Styela clava: one gene and its partner. Each later gene encodes a partner of the first gene's protein in a complex. Links are inferred from orthologs where the notes say so. Each region holds a gene or a part of one and is shown on either strand. Other genes may lie near its edges. The genes, in order: pre-mRNA-splicing factor SYF1-like and pre-mRNA-processing factor 19-like.

The links.
Region 2: pre-mRNA-splicing factor SYF1-like (region 1) and pre-mRNA-processing factor 19-like share a complex: the UniProt entries of both Homo sapiens proteins name them as parts of the XAB2 complex. The link is inferred for Styela clava from reciprocal best matches to the Homo sapiens genes XAB2 and PRPF19.

The regions. Positions count from the first base shown.
Region 1 is NC_135255.1:19,050,721-19,060,283, forward strand, and holds the start of pre-mRNA-splicing factor SYF1-like, read left to right. Parts: upstream 1-5,391; 5' UTR 5,392-5,432; coding exon 5,433-5,527; intron 5,528-7,148; coding exon 7,149-9,122; intron 9,123-9,542; coding exon 9,543-9,563. Other genes in the region: small ribosomal subunit protein mS26-like, read left to right, coding at 3,585-4,223. UniProt on the Homo sapiens protein: Involved in pre-mRNA splicing as component of the spliceosome. Involved in transcription-coupled repair (TCR), transcription and pre-mRNA splicing.
Region 2 is NC_135252.1:20,700,340-20,709,932, forward strand, and holds the start of pre-mRNA-processing factor 19-like, read right to left. Parts: upstream 3,798-9,593; 5' UTR 3,657-3,797; coding exon 3,638-3,656; intron 1,350-3,637; coding exon 1,201-1,349; intron 407-1,200; coding exon 271-406; intron 1-270. Other genes in the region: uncharacterized protein LOC120343531, read right to left, coding at 6,541-7,307, 7,778-8,274, 8,807-9,261. UniProt on the Homo sapiens protein: Ubiquitin-protein ligase which is a core component of several complexes mainly involved pre-mRNA splicing and DNA repair. Required for pre-mRNA splicing as component of the spliceosome.

The DNA of each region.
Region 1 (9,563 bases):
AAATAAACGATGTGAATTTTTTGACAAAACGAAGACTTTCTAATATATCCCAGCGCGAACAAAAAAAGCCTTTATTACCACTTTTGCGCTCCCCAAAATGCCGCAAATCACAACACAATGGATGTCGATCTGACCTTTGACATTGGGAAAGTTATGAATGCGCTTTCTGAAAATGAAACAAAAATATGGGCCGCACGCAAGGATGACGCGAACAATCGTGAAGCGTTCGTCAAATAATGAATAAATAAAATAAAATTGCGGAAATTTTTTTTAAAGAGAATCAGTACATTACGAAAACAAAATATATCGGAAAGTTCCAGCTTGACAGGAAATATTATCTGAATCTGCTAATTCGTAAATTTGTTTATTTGCAATGTTCAGAACCACCGCCATCATATCACCCACGATGATACCTACAGAGCGCTAAAATAACGAAGCTGTAGAATAACTCGTAAACAAGGGAATAATAACATTTCACTACAATAGAGAGATGGTAAGGGCAACTTCATTAAGTTTCGCACAACAACAATATTGTAGTGCGTGATTGCCACCAGGTAAACTCATGTTGATAATAAATGAAGCACAACCGGTGTTAGCAAAACGATGTAATTTGCCGACGTTTCGAATTTCTATACAGAAAAACTTCATCAGGGCATGATATGGAAAGGACACAAGTGGATATATATAGAGCAAGAAAAAGAAAAAATATGAAAAAATTATCATGGCGTCAACTCTAATCTAAAAGGATGATGATAAGATAATATGTATAAATAAACAAACTAGCGCAAGTTCAAACAAAAAGGGGACTATTTAAACAATGATTTATATACAGGCGGGTGCCTACTTCACGTACATATTTTTTATCAAAAGATATCATCGTGCTGAGCGGTTGGACTACCCGGCTGCGGTTCGCTGGTTCCCGCCAACGAATAATCATTTATGCTGGGAATACCAAAGTCCTCCCCCCCGTAGGGTGGTTCATGTAACCGATAGTCGGTTGCGGCTTTCTACACCATCAAGGCCAGGCATCTGAAACAAATAACCAGTGGCGCATCATTCTGAGTGTTAGGAATACGCTCGTCATCGTACCTCTGATTGCTGTACGTGGGTTCGCAGGTTCGAATACCGTTGGGATATTTATGTGAGATAGGATTGTCGGACTCCTCACCGCGGTAGGGTTGTTCACGTAACCGCTGGTCGGTTGCGGCTTCTTCGACCATCAATTCCAAGCATCTGAAAGAAATACCTAGCTGACTAATATCATGTCTTACCCGAAACGGAGTGGTAATCGGACGACACACGGTCGTAAACCATCTTATCGGCTTTCCTCTCCCGGGTGAAATATTTCAATCCTATCTAAATTCGAACTGAATAACTAATTCTCCAGTCATATGATTGAACTGGCTTATCAACTTTTCTCACTTCCAGGAAAAAAATGAAAATTCACATATTGCTGTATAGAATAGTTTCCAGTAAATTCAGGATGCCCTATTTCACGGTGAACCGCGGACATTCATATGCCTTTGTTACGTCGATTAGCATTTTTTCGCTAAGCTTCAGCTTTAATTACGATGGCGGAAGTAGACAATTAAATCGATGTAAAGGGTAATGTACACGAAAATGACTCGATTAATGTTATGTGAATAAACTTGCTTTTCATGTTTTATGTAAATTCTAACGTAAATCGTAACTTGGCTGATAGTTAATTTGCGCAAAAACGTTTGCGGCACGCATTGAATTTTTGGCTCGTTGTGGACTTATTCAACCGCTCCGCGGACTCAAGTTGGGAAACACTGCTCTAACAGCTAGCTTGTGCGAAGCGAACAACGCGTGTCATAAAATGAATATCCATGAGGCTCAAAAAGTTTTAAAGGTTAAATGGTTCAATAAAATAATCCCGAATTGGAAATAATTTAAAAACGTATTTATACTTAATAAAACACAAGTATCTCAATCCAATAACTATCGTTGAAAGTTGTCAATCAACGATCGAAGGAGCGCATTTTTAAACTTTGTCAAAAGACCCATTTTACGTAGATATGACACTACATATCTACATCGCATATTGTACACTATTCAGTCTGTACAAAAGTCAGATTGCGAGGTGCTCATACTGTTTAGGAATAGTTAAAAGTCTGAACAGTTAACTGAAATAGAATTTTAAACACCGGACTGGAGGTTTGGCGCATCACACTGACGTTAAAAATACGCTTGTCATCGCTCTGTTCCCTAAAAATAATTTTGTTCTTCACTGTCGCATTATGCTTCACGTTCGTGTAACTCATCTGTTAAGTATTCGAAACCCAAAGCAAATGTATGTTTACGTGGGTAATATTGGTAAACTGGCATATATATTTCACGTGTTTTCAAATCTTGATAAAGGTTTTGTTAGTTTCCCAATCTTCTGTGAGTTCATTGTTTTGTGTAGGTTTTTTTACGGGAAAATCAAAATAAACTCATACTCATAAATAACTATCACCCTATCTCGTCGCCACTGGAATCCCAATATTTGTTGAATTTCAGCAATACTACCTGTTACTACTGTCAACGTAGTCGGTAAATCCTGTAATTTTTTTCTATGAGTCAACTGACTTAACGAAGGAAAAACTTTGAAGTGTTGGAGATGAATTTTTTTGACCTATGACCCCACTAACATTTTATTTGGTGCTTCAGCATGTGAAAAATACAATTGAATAATTCCATGCCGGAATTGCTCTGGAATTGAGTTCGACAATAAAAGGTTTCTCGGGGTTATTTACTTCTGTGAATGCTGCGTTGGGATAACGTTTTAGATTCGTTATGGAGTGAAGAAAGCCAACGAGTGAGCACTACAATAGGTACGTTGTTGCAAGACCTTACGCAGTACCGGTACCGGCACGGCGGCAAAACTGCAAGAACTCTTAGCAACCCACTCGTTCATTACCGGTATCATCTTTCACTAGATTCAAACCTGCGAACTAACACAGGGTACGGTATCGTAATCAAGGTTGCGGTGGTCAACGTATTGCGCATTCATAACAATTAGCACGAAATCCTATATTTATATTCCAGTTCAGTCAGTCGGTGTCATTCAGTCATTCAAATAACTGAATACCGGTAGTGATTCCATGTTCATGTTCTGATGTTGTCTGTGTTGTAGGCAACATTTCTACTATTACAAATCATAGTAACATGACTCACTCACCCGATTTAACTGAAATTCCTTATTATATATGTATAATGATCATTTTCTAAACACTGAACCAGTTATGAAAAGTGATGATACCGGTATTAGAATTTTCACACTTATGCACTTTGGTGAAGTTGAGATTATTCGTGTCTAGTGTAGTTTCGTACTTCAAGTACTTGGCATATGTCAGTTCTAACCCCAAAAATTGTTACCCTATGCCAACTATAAGTACTTGAGGTATGAAACTACTCAAGACCAGATTATTTTGTTACAGGCATTCAAAATAATAATGGAAAGTTATTGGACTCTGATTTTGCATCGCTTCTTTTAAAATATTCCAGTTCATACCGGTTTAGATATGTATAGATACCGTAATTGATTTACAACAGATACCTTCAACTGCAGTTTCTATAGAATGGCTCTGGTACGAAGCAATATTCTGAGCCGAGTTTTTTATAAGCCTTCCATGCTTGAAACGAAACTTCATTTACCACTTCTTGAACAAGTCCGATACCGCAAGCCGAAGTGGTTACTACCACGTCGAGCACCTTCAAAAGCAGGGATATATTTTAATAAACCGAGACCTACGGAACATGATGTAAAGAAAAGTGAATTAATCTATAAATCTTATAATGAAATGCTGAGATCAATAGCTGCTGCTTTCCAAGAAGAAATATTGATAAACGAAGCTAAAAAGGAATCAAAAACTGTCTCAAAAAATAGTTTCGATGAACAAAGCCACCATGAAAAATGTATGGCGTATAATGAAGCTCATAACAAAGAAATGCGGGAAAAACGAGAACAAAAACTCGATCGAATATTGGAAAACCAAGAACAACAATTGAGCCAGAAAGTCAGTTTATTAGAAAAAAAATTCGAACATAAACTTGCTAAATATGAGCAAGAAGTTTTGACAGCGATAGACGAATCTGAAAATTGGATTAGCGAGGAAAATTTGGAAGAAAAAATTGAAGAAGCTTTAGACAATGTGGTTAACTTTAATTTTGCTGTCAAAAGAAATGGCAGAATTGCGTTAAGAACTGTGATACCATAGTATTTTAATCTGTGATGCTAGAGTGCATGGGATTCATAGAGTCTTGTTACAATTAGAAAACATTGGCAACTGACTTCATAACGAAGTTTTGAAATTGCAACTGGACTTTATAATCTTTTGTCATCATTGAGGCATTACATGTGGTATAACAGTGAAAGTGCTGCTATATGTTACTTGTGTGCTTAAGGTTCTGAGGTGCACATAAGGTGCATAATTGACGATAACAGTGTTTCCCAACATTTATGGCTCGTGGCGCTTTTAGCACTCATTGCCCCCCTGTTTATCATTCCAGTGGGATTCAAAGTGTTATTTTGATTGGCAGATTCCAAAGCCTATTAAATGTTCAAACAATTCATGCTCAACGAAGTGAAAAGACCCTGTGAAATAAGCTTATCAAGCTATTAAAAAGAAGAACAGGGTTTTTCATTTAGTAAAACTGAAATGAGTTTTGCGGCTAGCAATGTGGCCCCTCTCCAACTGCTCTGTGGCTTCCTTAGGGAGCCACAGGCCCGTGGTTGGGAACCAATGCCACAGTATTTTCTGCTGTGGTGCAGTACATGGTGCTTATAAAGTCTTGTAACAAATACAAAATATTGAGAACTGACTTCATGACAAAAATTTTAATTTGTGGTAGTGGTAGGATCCCATGAAGATCCTGTCTATCTTTTGTTTGGGACCTGGTTTAGTATGATTCCAACTTCGTCCTCTGGTGGGAATCATTGAGACATTAAATCAGTGTAACAGTGAAAGTGCTGCTATATGTTACTTTTTTTGTTGATAAGGTTTTGATTAATAAATCGTACAAAAGTTGGCTGGACCCAGGTTTGAATAAAATTTTGCTTTGTTTGAAGTTTCGCTTTCACGACTGCTAGTAAACTCCAGTACGATTTGATTTCAATCTAACCCTAGAACCAAATATCTTATTTAATGTTTGTGGCAAAATATATTTCATCCCAAAATGGAGCGTCTTTATTAATGAACTGTTCTGTAAAATGAGTATCGATATATGCTAATGCTCAAAATATTGTGTGAAGGTATTCATGCCGTCTTTTTTTATCTTATAGTCTTTAACCCATAGGAAGGACTGAATTCCTGATAATACATTCTTTATGTTTTGGAATCATCTTCATCATTTAAACTCTAAAACTATGTGTTCCTATTTTTATCTTTTAGAATTCTGTACCGTTAGACCTATTGTAGAATAAGAATATGCCATCTGTGGATGAGCTGGTCTTGGAAGAAGATGACCTACCTTATGAAGAAGAGATATTGCGCAATCCATTCTCTGTCAAATGCTGGCTGAGGTAGGTTTATTTATTACTTATCGATCTTAAGATCGGTAAGTATATTGATAGGTATTTGTATGTATGTCTGTCTGTCTGTGTGTGTGTGTGTCTGTTAGATGCGCGCGATATCTCACGAAAGCGAGATTGAATCTGCTCCAGATTTTGCATGTGCATTCATCTTATCTCGGACCAGATTCCTATTGATTTTGGGCGAATTATGTCGTATAATTAGCGAGTTATCAATCAATTATTGATTAAGTGATCTAGATTTTTGTAAAGCGAGAGGATTTTGAGACCCGCCGAGTGTGTGTGTGCGACGCGCAGTGCGCAAGTTACACGAGCGGATGAAGCGGATGAAAACTGCAGTGTCTGTTTTGGGGGATCCCCTAACTATCGATCGATAAGTATTCGGTTTCCAACCGATATTCTCGTTGGTTTTTTAATCACATATTTAGAATTAGGCTATACATAAGCGCCCACTGCTAGGTCGGGATCTACTATTGATCAAAAGAGCCGGAATCTTTCTGGCTCGACATTGCCTAGACATGACATGGGCAAACAACGGCGAATTCAATCTGATGCTGCCACAACCAAACTAAATTTGTATTTTGATGTTTTAGGAAAAAATACCTCGGAAATTTGTCGAGATTGCGATAAAATTTGGTTTTGTCACGAAGCTCATTGTTTACATTTTTGCTTTTGTAACACTGTAAATAAAATTCTGTTTATAAAATGTAACTTTTAATGTCATTCTTACATGGCCCCCAAGTCTTGGTTGGCAAAATTTTTGACCTCTGGTTCAAAAACCTTACTCAACCGTGGCCTAGCAGGGTGAGGTGACTATGGAATTTGAACTCCTGATTTCAACTTGAAGTGTAACGCTTCAACAACTAAACCCCCCCGACTCAGGTTTGTGTTCAATGATCAGAACATGGACTTTGCTAAACTTTTATTTTCACTATCAAGTTGTTGTGTATGCTCTATGTAATTTTACATTAGTCAATACCACCCAGATGTTACACCTGGAGGGTTATTAGTCGTTAATGAATATGATCCACTGGAAACCGAAGTATAAAGTACACCTTAGCTTGGAAGATTGTTTGTCGCTTGCGATAATTTCCTTAGCGTACAAATTTACTGAAAGATTAAGGTCTGAAACGATTAAAGACAGATGGCAAATATCTGTGACTTTACAACCCAATTCTCTATGTATTATCCGCACCTGGATATAATGTGCAAAACGACCCACTTATACCTCAAACTCACCCATCCAAATTCATGCCATTCTGAAAATTCAGCATCTCTGCAGAGCGATTTTGACACTGTAACCCGCCTATCTGCGCCACTGCTGAAATCCAATTATTCTGTCTATACCCATGTTGCTTGCTGATCTTCCAATGTTATTCCCTGCAACAAATACGTATTGCTTCACATCAGGTGAACAAGCAGGCAACGATTGTTATCGACAACAGTTATTTGTGAATAAACTGTTCTTTATTCATGGTTTCATATTGAGTTTTGAATCTGTGGCCCAGTAACCAAGTCTATTGAATATAAGGATAGTATTATAGTAAAAGAAAGCCCACCCCGACTCTGAATGCTTTATATGCGAAAGTCCTAAGTTATTTATTTTTTTTAGGTACATTGATCACAAAGAAAATGCACCTTATAAGCAGCTCAACATGGTCTATGAGAGAGCTTTGAAAGAACTTCCTGGAAGCTATAAGTTATGGTACAACTATCTACGAATCAGACGAAGCCAGGTTAAAGGTCGATGTCCTACGGACTCAATGTTTGAAGAAGTTAATAACGCACATGAACGAGCGTTAGTTTTTATGCACAAAATGCCCCGGATTTGGATAGATTATTGTAAATTTCTTGTGGATCAAAGATGTCTGACGAGAACGCGTCGTACTTTTGATCGCTGCCTTGAAGCTCTTCCAGTGACGCAGCATGATCGGATTTGGCCGTTGTATATTGAATTTGTGAAAAAATATCCCATTCATGAAACAGCAGTTCGAGTTTTTCGTCGAATGCTGAAACTCATTCCAGAAGAAAGTGAAGACTACGTGGAATATTTAATATCGATCGATCGTTACGATGAGGCAGCTACAAAACTTGCGGAAATTGTTAACGACGAGAGTTTTGCGTCGAAACATGGAAAGACGAATCATTTACTTTGGCATGAGTTATGTGAACTCATTTCAAAGAATCCTGATAAAGTACATTCGCTAAAAGTCGAGGCAATTATTCGTGGTGGTTTAAAACGTTTCACTGACCAATTAGGACAACTTTGGTGCGCTTTAGCTGATTATTACATCAGAAGCGGACTTTTTGAACGAGCGAGAGAGATTTACGAAGAAGCAATAGAAACTGTGACCACTGTCCGTGATTTTACACAAATTTTCGATGCGTACGCTCAATTTGAAGAGTCCGTTATTAGTTCGAAAATGGAAGAGGCGGCTGAAGAGGAACAGAATGAAGAAGATGACATTGATATTGAATTACGACTCGCAAGGTTCGAACATTTAATTACGAGACGTCCATTACTTCTCAATAGCGTCCTCTTGAGGCAGAATCCACACAATGTAAACGAATGGCTTAAACGAGTCGAGCTTTACGAAGATAACTTAGCACAGGTCATCAATACATACACAGAAGCTATACAGACAATAGAAATACCAAAATCCGTTGGAAAGATTTCTAATCTCTGGGTTTCCTTCGCTAAATTCTATGAAAAGCATGATCAAATTGACGACGCTCGTACAATTTTTGGAAAAGCGGTCCTCGTGTCTTACAAAGGCGTTGAAGATCTGGCCACCGTGTGGTGTGAGTGGGCTGAAATGGAACTACGACACGAGAATTTTGATGGCGCAATCAATTTAATGAAACGAGCGACTGCAATGCCACCTAAACGCGCTGGATATTTCGACCATACCGAACCAGTCCAAAATAGAGTATACAAATCATTGAAACTCTGGTCCATGTACGCTGATTTAGAAGAGAGTTTCGGGACCTTCCATACTTGTAAAGCTGTTTATGATCGTATCTTGGATCTCCGAATCTCCACTCCGCAAATTATTATCAATTACGGAATGTTTTTGGAGGACAATCATTATTTTGAAGAGGCTTTTAAGGCTTATGAACGAGGTGTCGGGATGTTTAAATGGCCAAACGTTTTCGATCTTTGGAATACATATTTGACTAAATTCATTGCAAGGTATGGTGGAAAGAAACTAGAGCGCGCTAGAGATCTTTTTGAGCAAGCTTTAGACGGATGTCCCCCCAAGTTCGCAAAAAATTTGTATCTCTTATACGCCAAGCTTGAAGAAGAACATGGGTTATCAAGACACGCAATGGCAGTCTACGAAAAAGCTACGAAGGCCGTTTTACCAGAAGAAAAATATGATATGTTTAATATTTATATTAAGCGTGTAGCCGAAATATACGGAGTTACCCATACAAGGCCGATATACCAACGTGCTATCGAATCACTCGAAGATGCTCAAGCGAGAGATGTTTGTCTCCGATTTGCTGACCTTGAACAGAAACTGGGTGAAATTGACAGAGCAAGAGCGATTTATGCTTTCTGCTCTCAGATGTGTGATCCAAGGTGAGTGTGATTTTCCATACCACCCAATGTACCCTCGTAGATGTCAGAAACCAACTTATCAATTATTCGTAAATCAGAGGTGTGCAACATGCGACTCGTGGGCCACAATCCAGCCTGCCAAGTAAACTTCGCTGTACTTTTTTTAGTATTTTTCGTAAAATTGGCATGTCCAGGGACAGGGGTGTGCATCGGCCGACTTGCGTCCCTCGCCATGCCATTTAGTGTGGCCTTTGTCAACACTCAGATTTATCCCCATCAAGCATAAAATCCTAAACCAACAGTTTGTGGACAAAAAGGTTGCGAGAAATCTCTACCCAAATAGTTGTATATAAACACATGGATAAATCGAATTTTATATACCGTAATTTTTTATTAATTTTACTTATAATTAATTCTTCATTTTACTTATTTTATTTTCAGAACCACAGCTGAATTCTGGCA
Region 2 (9,593 bases), on another chromosome or scaffold:
ACAATTTGAATGCCCCTCCTGAAAGATGGTCACAGTGAACTGCAGGTTAGGAATATACGATACTAAAAGCTATTTGAATGGCATTCGTTGTACAGGGAGGTTGGGCTGCCATGTTTCAGAAATAGGGATAGATATATATCCTACACTTTGAGTCAACATTTGAAGGATAATTACTGTCCAACATGTGCAGTGTCCTATATGTGTACCCATGTGCTCACGATTGATTTTTAACACTATAGTCCAAAATAAAAAAATTGGGGATGTTGATACCTTGTCTTGTAGTTTGTAATTGCTGTCTCAATGTATATGAATTCAGCATGCAAGCATCCCACTCATCTTGTAAGGACTTCAATATAGCTGGGATACTTGTTGCAGATGGTGGTTTGGGCTTGATCACTGAGTGAGTCTGAAAATACAATAATTTTCAAATTATGCAAGAAGAATTGGCCATTGAATAGCCCCTCGCTCAGCACATTTTTGCTAAATGCTAGTGGCACTGGCAGCCAGAGGTTCACATCTTACTCACATAGGAATTTTCTCCAGACCAGGATAAAAATGAAATAAATATGAATAAGTCATTGAGCTATTTTTAGCCAAAACATCAAACTTTTAATTTTAGTCTGATTGTGCCCGGATTTGGATCACAGGCCATAGTTTGGCTATGTCAGGTCTAGTCTGTAATATACAGATAAATATAAGTTTTCGGAGTTTCAGACCATTATGTTGGTGAGAATATTGAATAGGTAGAAATTTGGTGAAGTATGACTGAATCAGAGACAGCCGCTATTATAATTGAAGTCTGAAGTGACGTTTGCTAATATAAGATATAGAAAATATTCTAATGTGGCAATTTTCAACAGAGGAATTTGTATGTACTATGTAAATTCGTTGAAACTGAATCTGGTAAAGTAAGATAGATAATATAAACTTTGTTCTGATTGGAATTGTTTTTTTTGCACTGTTAGAAGATGAATTAAGTCTATTTTTGTCGTTTATTTCAGATGTCGAATGCCTAAAATGACAGAAAGAAGAGAGATTCATTATTGGGTCAACCGAAAATACAGTCATCAATACAAATATATATGGTTTTTATTTGATTTTAGTTGGTTGTGGCAGCATCAGGTAGGCCAGATTGGATTTGGGCCGGATTTGGCAACGCGGGCCGTAGTTCGCCCATGTCAGATATAACGCAGTATCAACCTTTATATCAATTATCTGTTCCGGTGAAATAGGTTCGTTGCATGTAGGGTCGACACCATGCTCTTGGACATATTTTTCAAGCAATCTTCGTTCAAATACACATCCAGATACTTGGGATATGCATGGGTGATCTGGCACTTCTCCACTGACTGTAAAAAAGGATTAAAATGAATTTTTGAAATGAAAGGTCTGGTTGTTTCACCATCCAGTGAGAAAGAGACAATCATTTTGGCAAATAACAGAATGCTGGAAATCTGGAATGTGTCAAAATGTTCACATACAGACATACGTCAGTCAGTCGAAGTTTATTATAACTGGGGTTCAATATACCGACATAGGAGTCCATAGGACATACTTATGACGGGTCTGGTATAGTTAAGTACCACATGCACTTCTAGTTGGTCTGGCTCAACAATTTTTGCATGGTTCCCGTACATTTGAACACACGTAAATTTTTTTGTTTTACGGACATTTTAACCCATACTGACCCTAACCCATGGGTTTTAGCACCCGCGGATATACACATGGGTTCAAATGTACAGTCACCTTTTTGCATATGTCATTCTTAAACCCCACCTGACTATGTCACCAAAAAATCATGTCATTATGACATCACAGTTTCGTAATAAAGCCCTCCTAAATATACGGAAGGACGTCCCAAATGCACAGACGATCATCCAAAATTGAGCAAGTTATTTCTCTCGTTTTCTCGTCGCAACGACCCTGATATGAGAGAGATCGCCGATGTTCGTTATCGGCGGCACAGATGCCATTTCGGGCGATCGCAGCTACACTTTAGCAAGCTCTATGACGTGATTGTGACGTCCTAGTGACATAATTTTTGGATGGCATAGTCAGGTGGGGGTTAGGAATGACATATGCAAAATTCGTTATGCTACGCCAACTAGTGGTATACTTGTGTTACTAAACTATAGTAGGGTGGCTTACCCACTTTGCGGCCACGACCCATTTGCGGCCATCAACTTCATCGGTTAATTTAATACCGAAAAAATTAATGAACCGCGACGATATTTCTCACCCAATTTCGTCCACTCATACCTCGTATCTCTGCGGAATTACACTAAAATGCGGCCACAAACAAAAAAAGTTACGCCCGAAAACCCGCCCGGAGAAAAAAAACGGACCATTTTTTCATGTCGCCAACTACCCATTGTCGCTCCAAAAAGCTTGAAAATCTATAGAAATATAGGAGATAAAAACATGAAACTTGGCAGCTGAGTAGAGTTTTGTTTCTTTTAACCATCTTTAAAGTTTCACGTTTCAACATTTAAGGGAGGGGAAATAGGGGGGTGCACATTTCCAATACGTCAATAATATCTTTGTCGAACAATTTGCGATCACCGTGTTTTTGTCTGTTTGATTGCTGTGATGTGGTGCTTTGTTTATAATTTGACGAGTTGTGTTCGAAATAATCGTGTTCTCAAAATATATGACGGTCAAAAAAGCAATTAGGAGCCCAATTTTTTCACGCATGGCTGCGTATGTGCTAGTCTCAACGCAGCATAAGCGATGTTCAAGGCTTGAAATCTGCGGTTGCACACTGGTCGTTCGGTCGCAAATACGTCTCCCGAGTGTCATACTTTGATGGTTTGTATAGCTTTAACCACTGGTCGTAGAAAGTTAATTCGAGATTTACCGTGTAGAATAAATGCCAATGGGGTCTGGTATAGTTTAGTACCACATACACTTCTAATTGGCCTGGCTCAACAATTTTTGCATATGTCAATCCTAACCCCCACCTGACTACGTCACCAAAAAATTACGTCATTCCGACGTCACAGTGGCGTAACACGGCCCACCGAAGTATGCGGATGGTTGTCCAAAAGGCGCAGACGATAACCCGAAATCGAGCAAGCTATTTCTTTCGTTTTCTCATCGCAATGATCACGATAGGAGAGAGATCGCCGGCTTTAGCAAGTTCTTATCGGCAGCGCAGATGCCATTTCGGGCGATCGTAATTATACTTTGACAATCCCTATGACAGTATGACGTGATGGTGACGTCGTAGTGTAGTAATTTTTGGATGGCATAGTCAGGTGAGGGTTAGGAATAACATATGCAAAAATCGTTATGCTACGCCCACTGGCAGACTGGAAGTACTTGTGGTACTAAACTATACTAGACCCTGCCAATGCACCTACAGACCTATGGTGAAAAAATTAACAGGTTAGAAATATTAGTTTTAATTTTATAGCAGTTTGAATGAAATCGTCCACAGACTGGCTGCACCACCCTAGACCCCTTTGAAAAATTTACAAATAACAAGTTTCAGTAAAACATGTTTTTTTTGGAAACAAATACAGAAATATCAAAGGAAGGGCACAGGGGAAAGCTTATAGCGGTAGCGTGAACCAGTAATCCTCTTGCACGTAATTACTTCCAAATACGTAAATAAATTTAAATTCAATCAACTTACTTGTGCATATTAACGACATTTTGACAATTACAACATACAATCCCAATCCAATAATAGTATGATCTTCAAAACTTGGAGCTAAAATCAAAGATGGCGGCGCCGTATGAAGTCACTCATGCATGGTGTCCAACAAGACTTCCGTGGTTTCGTGCCGATGGATATTTTCCAGACCTTCGACCCGAAAGATATTCTTCATGGATTTATTTTTAGGAGTCTATTGCGAGTTGGTCTTACAAACTAGTACTGATAGCTAATTTTAGCCTAATTTATCGCACCATTTTAAAGCTAATTTTTGAACACCAATAGCGACTTTCGGACTGGTTTGTTTCAGCGACTCTTTACCATACTGCTGTTCATCGGATAGAGGCCTCCGAATCAGTCGCACCACTTTCGGAAAGGTTTTAGCATAGGACAATATTTCATCTATATCGGTGGAGAATAAAGCCGACTTAATCATAAGGCGAACCACGACCACTTGTCCGGTTACCGCACCTATGGTGATAGTCAAAGTTTCGTCAGTACTTTTCCCGACTATTTAAATTGTTTTTATATGCGGATTACACTCTCTTTCAAAAAAAAAAATACTTGAGGTTCATAATGATTAATTATCAATAAAATTTACTCACATTTAAAGACCCCACATTCACCAGTATTGATATATGGTTTCTTAAACAACTCACAAGGCAAATGAGAACGAAGTCTTACGCTTCAACCACTAGGACACGGGTTGGCACGGGTATGGGATAGTGGCGTATCTACGTAAAATGTCGCCCATGGCAAATTCTGAAAACTCGCCCCCTTGATAGTTTGACAATTTATAATGACTATTATTTAATTGAGATACTTGTACGTTATTATCTGAGTAAAAATACGAGTTTCAATTATTCCCAATTGAAATTTTTTATGATTAATACTTTTTGCCCGTTTTGCGCCCCTGTTCAAACGGCGCCCATGGCACGAGCCATGGCTGCCACACCCTAGATACGCCACTGATGGGATTAGTTGGTTATTTGTTTTCGAAAGCATGGACTTGCACGGCCAGCGGTTACGTGAACCACCCCACGGCGGCGAAGAGTCCAGCAATCCTCTCGCACATAACCATTCCCGAATTGGATTCGAACATGCGAAACCACGCAGAGTAATCAGAGGTGCTATGGCGAGAGTTTTCCTAACGCTTAGCACGATGAGCCACACCGCCGCGCTGCCGAGCCGCAACATATACTCTTATGTCAGAGGCTAATAAAACTTTCGGAAACCCACTTATGATGCAATAAGCAAGTTCTTAAAAATACGAAGATTCAATAATAGAATCTATGACGAAATGAAAACTGCTTGCAAAACTAAAAAAAGAGAGTGTTTACACACTTGAATCGCATTAATGCAACCTATTTTTACCGCTTGCGACGTATAGTTTGGGGACCGCTGTGATGTGTAATTAGTGGGGAGTATTTAGCTTTATGCCTCCGCCTCTCATTAATGCCTCAACGCTTCTAAAAAACAACTTTGAGACAGAGCTCCGAGCCACAGGTTGGCGATCGCTGCACTAGGCCATGGCTTCCACAAACTTTCTTCATAAACTTGTTCAATAAAAAATACAAGAGTTTTACAATAATTGTTTTTATTTGTTATACGAAGGCATTGGATGCAAGAAAAGAAGAATTAAGGATCTTTATATTTTGAATTACCTGAGTTTGCAATATGTAAAGAAAATATTCTGGAATTCTGGTCGTCATTAAGCGAGTCGGGAAAAGTTTGGTAAAGTCATATTAAAATCTACTCGGATTTGAGGTTTGGAGGGATTTGCGCCCACAAAGGTTTCGCACCAGTATTTATATGTACTTTTCTTAAACAAGTTCCGTTGGTTCAACGGAATGAAGTAATAATGGATGGAAATCGATAACTAGAGGTCTACGACGCTATATTTTCATCACAGTAAAGTAAATTATGCAAAATATACTGAATACATAAAATGTAGTCACACTGTATACCTATAACAATGAAATACAGATGAAAATTATAACTGTACATCTTCGTCAAACATGCTTATACAGAGAGGTATGCTTATAACAGTGCTCCGAGTAACCTGAGGTAAATGGTATTGGAAAAATTAATATACAGTTTTAAATGTATCAATGCGACAAAGTTTGAGGTATTTGTGGTTGAAGGTAAACTTTGAGAATGAAGGAAGATTTATTTTTACTAGTCGTTTTATCTAAAATGCTTAGACCGAATTCCATGCCGTAGCGATAACCCTATACTTATGAAATTTAAACCTATTAAATACCGCAGTTGCGCAGCCAGTCAGTCAAAATTGACCAAGTCGCAAATAAAACTTTGGGTTCCGAGTTACCGCAAATTCAATGTTCAAACCAAGAACACGTTTGCTCTGCTGAATTGTTTATGGAGCTATCTACGCAACTGTGGCTGGCTATGTTAATCAGAACCAAAAGCAAGAGAATTGGTTAAATAAGCGAACCAGGGCGATTATTGCCATGTAGCTTGCACATCATTGACTGACAACAAAGGGCCTTGTACAAGAATCTAGAAGGTGTTTCATTCCGAACAAAATCATGTTATTCATATTTTGACTGACAGAAAGCTACCTAGTTGATGACGATTTCCTCGTGATATCAGTAGGATTTCTGAAATTTATAATTCCTGCGGAAGAGGAAAGGCGAAAAGATGTCTTAATCATATGGCGTACCTCGGCCCCCCAGTTCATGTCGCGTATGGGAATAGTAAATATTCAGTTATTTGTTTCAGAAGCGAGGGCAACACTAGGTGAAAATAAAACTTGAATGAAAGTGATTGATAAAGTAATAAAAATGACAGCTGTTATCCTGGATACAGAAAGTATTATATAGTAAGCAAAATAGGAAAAGAATATTATTGACGCTATTTAATTAATTAGCGGGAACAAGATTGGCGGACTGGGGAACAGAAGATGTACCGTCAAGCCTTGTTCGGTTTGGATCCCACTGATATAAAAGTGCGTGTTGGAGTCGACTATAACCGGATATTGGAAGAGATTCAGACGGGTAGTAGTGGTTGTAGATACCCGATTGGGCAGATTCAGGAGTGGTCGGAGTCTGACTTTCTTTTCGATATGCGAAATTTGCGACTGTGTTTGGTGAAAACCGGAAAAATCTAGACGCTGGGTCGCTGTTGTTTTCGTGGTTGAGTGAGTCAACTCCGGGTTTGATATTGAAGGTATTGGTTGTATCGCCGGTTATCCCGTGTATTCCATTGTCGTTGTATAAAAGTCTTGGATCTGCAAATGGCGAGGTTAGGCCGAGGAAGCTTTGCTGAATCTGAGGTGGCACCGCATACATTGTGCCATAAACCAAGTCTTTCCAACCTGTTATAACTGGCTTCCATTCAATGATAGGGGCGAATCGATTGGCATCAAAACCAGGCGCCACAGATTTGGTTTGAGGCGGCGGATAAGTGTCATCATGGGATGCATCGGGGGTTCGTGACACTGGTGAGGCGCCATCGATACTATCTCCCTTCGCTTCACTATCCTGGCTTTTGTTTATATTCTCATTATCTTTGTATTGCACAGTTTCTTCGTTGTCTTGCATATGTTTGTCTTCATTCGACTTCTTGGCAGGTATTTCATACCATTCGTTGCATAGTTGTCGCTTCCACTTCTGTGGTTTTTCAGATGCTGAAAGTGAAATAAGGAGTTTATTGAAAGCTAACAATTAGACGGGGTTTAGAGATAAGTTTGTGGTGTTGAAACTATTACAAGTGTGATTGCTCATATTATTATGATTGCTTTGGTTTGGTATTTGGTACCAAGCTAAGAAAACGTGACACAAAGTTCAAAATACTAGTCAGGTCTGCCTACGAAGCAGGTACATCCTTGGTGAGTCCATATTGCTCGAATACTGGCGCACATCGATCAAAATAAAACCGACCATAAACTCGACTTACAGTTCACAATAATAAGTCATATTACAGTTCATTTTTCCAACAAGTTAAAGTAATTACATATTAAATAAATTAGGTGGTAAAAGTCGCGGGAGACCAAACCTGTTCATCAAGTACCTCATCGGGAATTAAAAGAAATTTTAGGTTTCTGAGTATTGCCTTTATGAGCTACATCGCATCGACAACATTAATGTGTATTCTTACCTCTTTTTAGTGACTTTCTCTCTGGACTTTGTATTTCGTCAGAGGAGGAGACATGTCGCTCTTCGTTAGTCGTCGTTGACGCCACATCGTGGTTGTCATTTTCAGTTGGCGAACGACCGACATCGGGACCAACGACATCTTCATTTGCTCTATCGTTTTCTCCCGATTGTGACGTATGCGGAATTTCTGTGACCTCTTCCGGTACGGGTTCACACCTTCCCAATGACTTATAAGCAAGGTCTTTCACTCTCTGCATAAAAGCGGATTGGATTCGCTTCGCTTGGAACGTAACATGTGTGATCTCATTCGCTGCTGAACCGGAAGTGTTTGGAGAGGATTTTCTCAGATTTGGCGAAGAAGGAAGAGATTTGTCGCTATGGCTTGAATAGGCAGAATCACGTCTCTGGTCTTTGCGGCTATGGTCGTTGATCACGTGTTCTCGTAGTTGCTCTCCGTTTTCGAATTTTCGGTCACAGTGTACACAGTCGTTCACAGATCTGCAAAATTAAATAGGTAAATTTTAAATTATAAAATTCTGCCTATAATTCTTCGTAGTTCCATTAGCTCACGGCACTCTAGTTATCGCACGTAACGTCCCTCAGAGATAGATTTTCTTTATTTATGACAAGTGTACTTGGGCTGGGTTTCGACAAAGTTTCACAAAAAACATGGGAAATGTAGGACGGGGATCATAGTTAATTATAAAATGACTCAATCGTTTGACAGAGACTTGGGTTTGCTTACAGGATCGTGGTGGTGACCCAGAAATGGCTTGAACTGTGTGTTGTAAGACGGACATTTGCAGCGTTGGCTTTATTGATCAGCATAATATACTTATGAACAACAAAAACTATATCGATTTTTGGTTGTATATGACGCGTCAGAAATAAAGATTACAGCGAGTCTTGAAGCACTTCAAGTCTATGCAACCAGCAGGAAAACATATACAACGTAGCGAAATACCTGATTGAAAAGTTTTAGATTTCGACTTCTATAAATAAAACAAAGTCAGCCTATGATTTATCTTACCTCACGTTATTGCTTTGCTTTGGTAGGCTTTCGTCCGCACGACTGATTACAGGTTTATATTCAAGAGGTACCGGGGTATCGGCTGAGGTGTTCTCTACTATCGAAGGATGTGAAGACGGGGTTTGGAAGTAATGTAACATATTCATATTGGGTGTAATGGTTGTCGGGGGAGAGTATAAAGGCGCGGGTTTGGGGTCGGAATCGCTTCTTAGGAGAGCGGATAGGGACGGGAAATACGATATATCATTTGTGGAACAATTGGGTGCTATGAATTCCTGTTTTATAGTTGGAGATGAGATTGCCTTTGATGGAAATCGATGAGGTGATGCGGTAGTATAATTTGTAGGTATTGAGGTAGGAGGTAACGACGTGGAACATCCGTGAATATTAGGATATGGGAAGATCCCAGAATCCGTCCTGTTTGAGGAAAACTGAGGGAAGCTCGACTGCGACATCTAGAGGGTAAAAATATCCAGATTAATATGGGAAGTTGATTAAATGAAACCAGTGGTTCCCAAAGTTGATTGGCCGAGGTCCAACATTAGAAGCGGAAGGATATTCGCGGGCCGGGAGATGGGAGCGCCCAAAAGAGGCCGATACCGGTGTCGGTATGTATAATTGAGATACCAGTATAATTGAATTGTTTCTAATATGCACGTGCCTAAACTGCGATAGTGACGTTGCAGTGGTTTGTATCTAGCTAGAACGTAAAATAGTAAAAACATAAAAAGTTGAACTATTTTACTTACGTTCGGTGGGCCATATGAAATCGTTATGCGGGCCATAA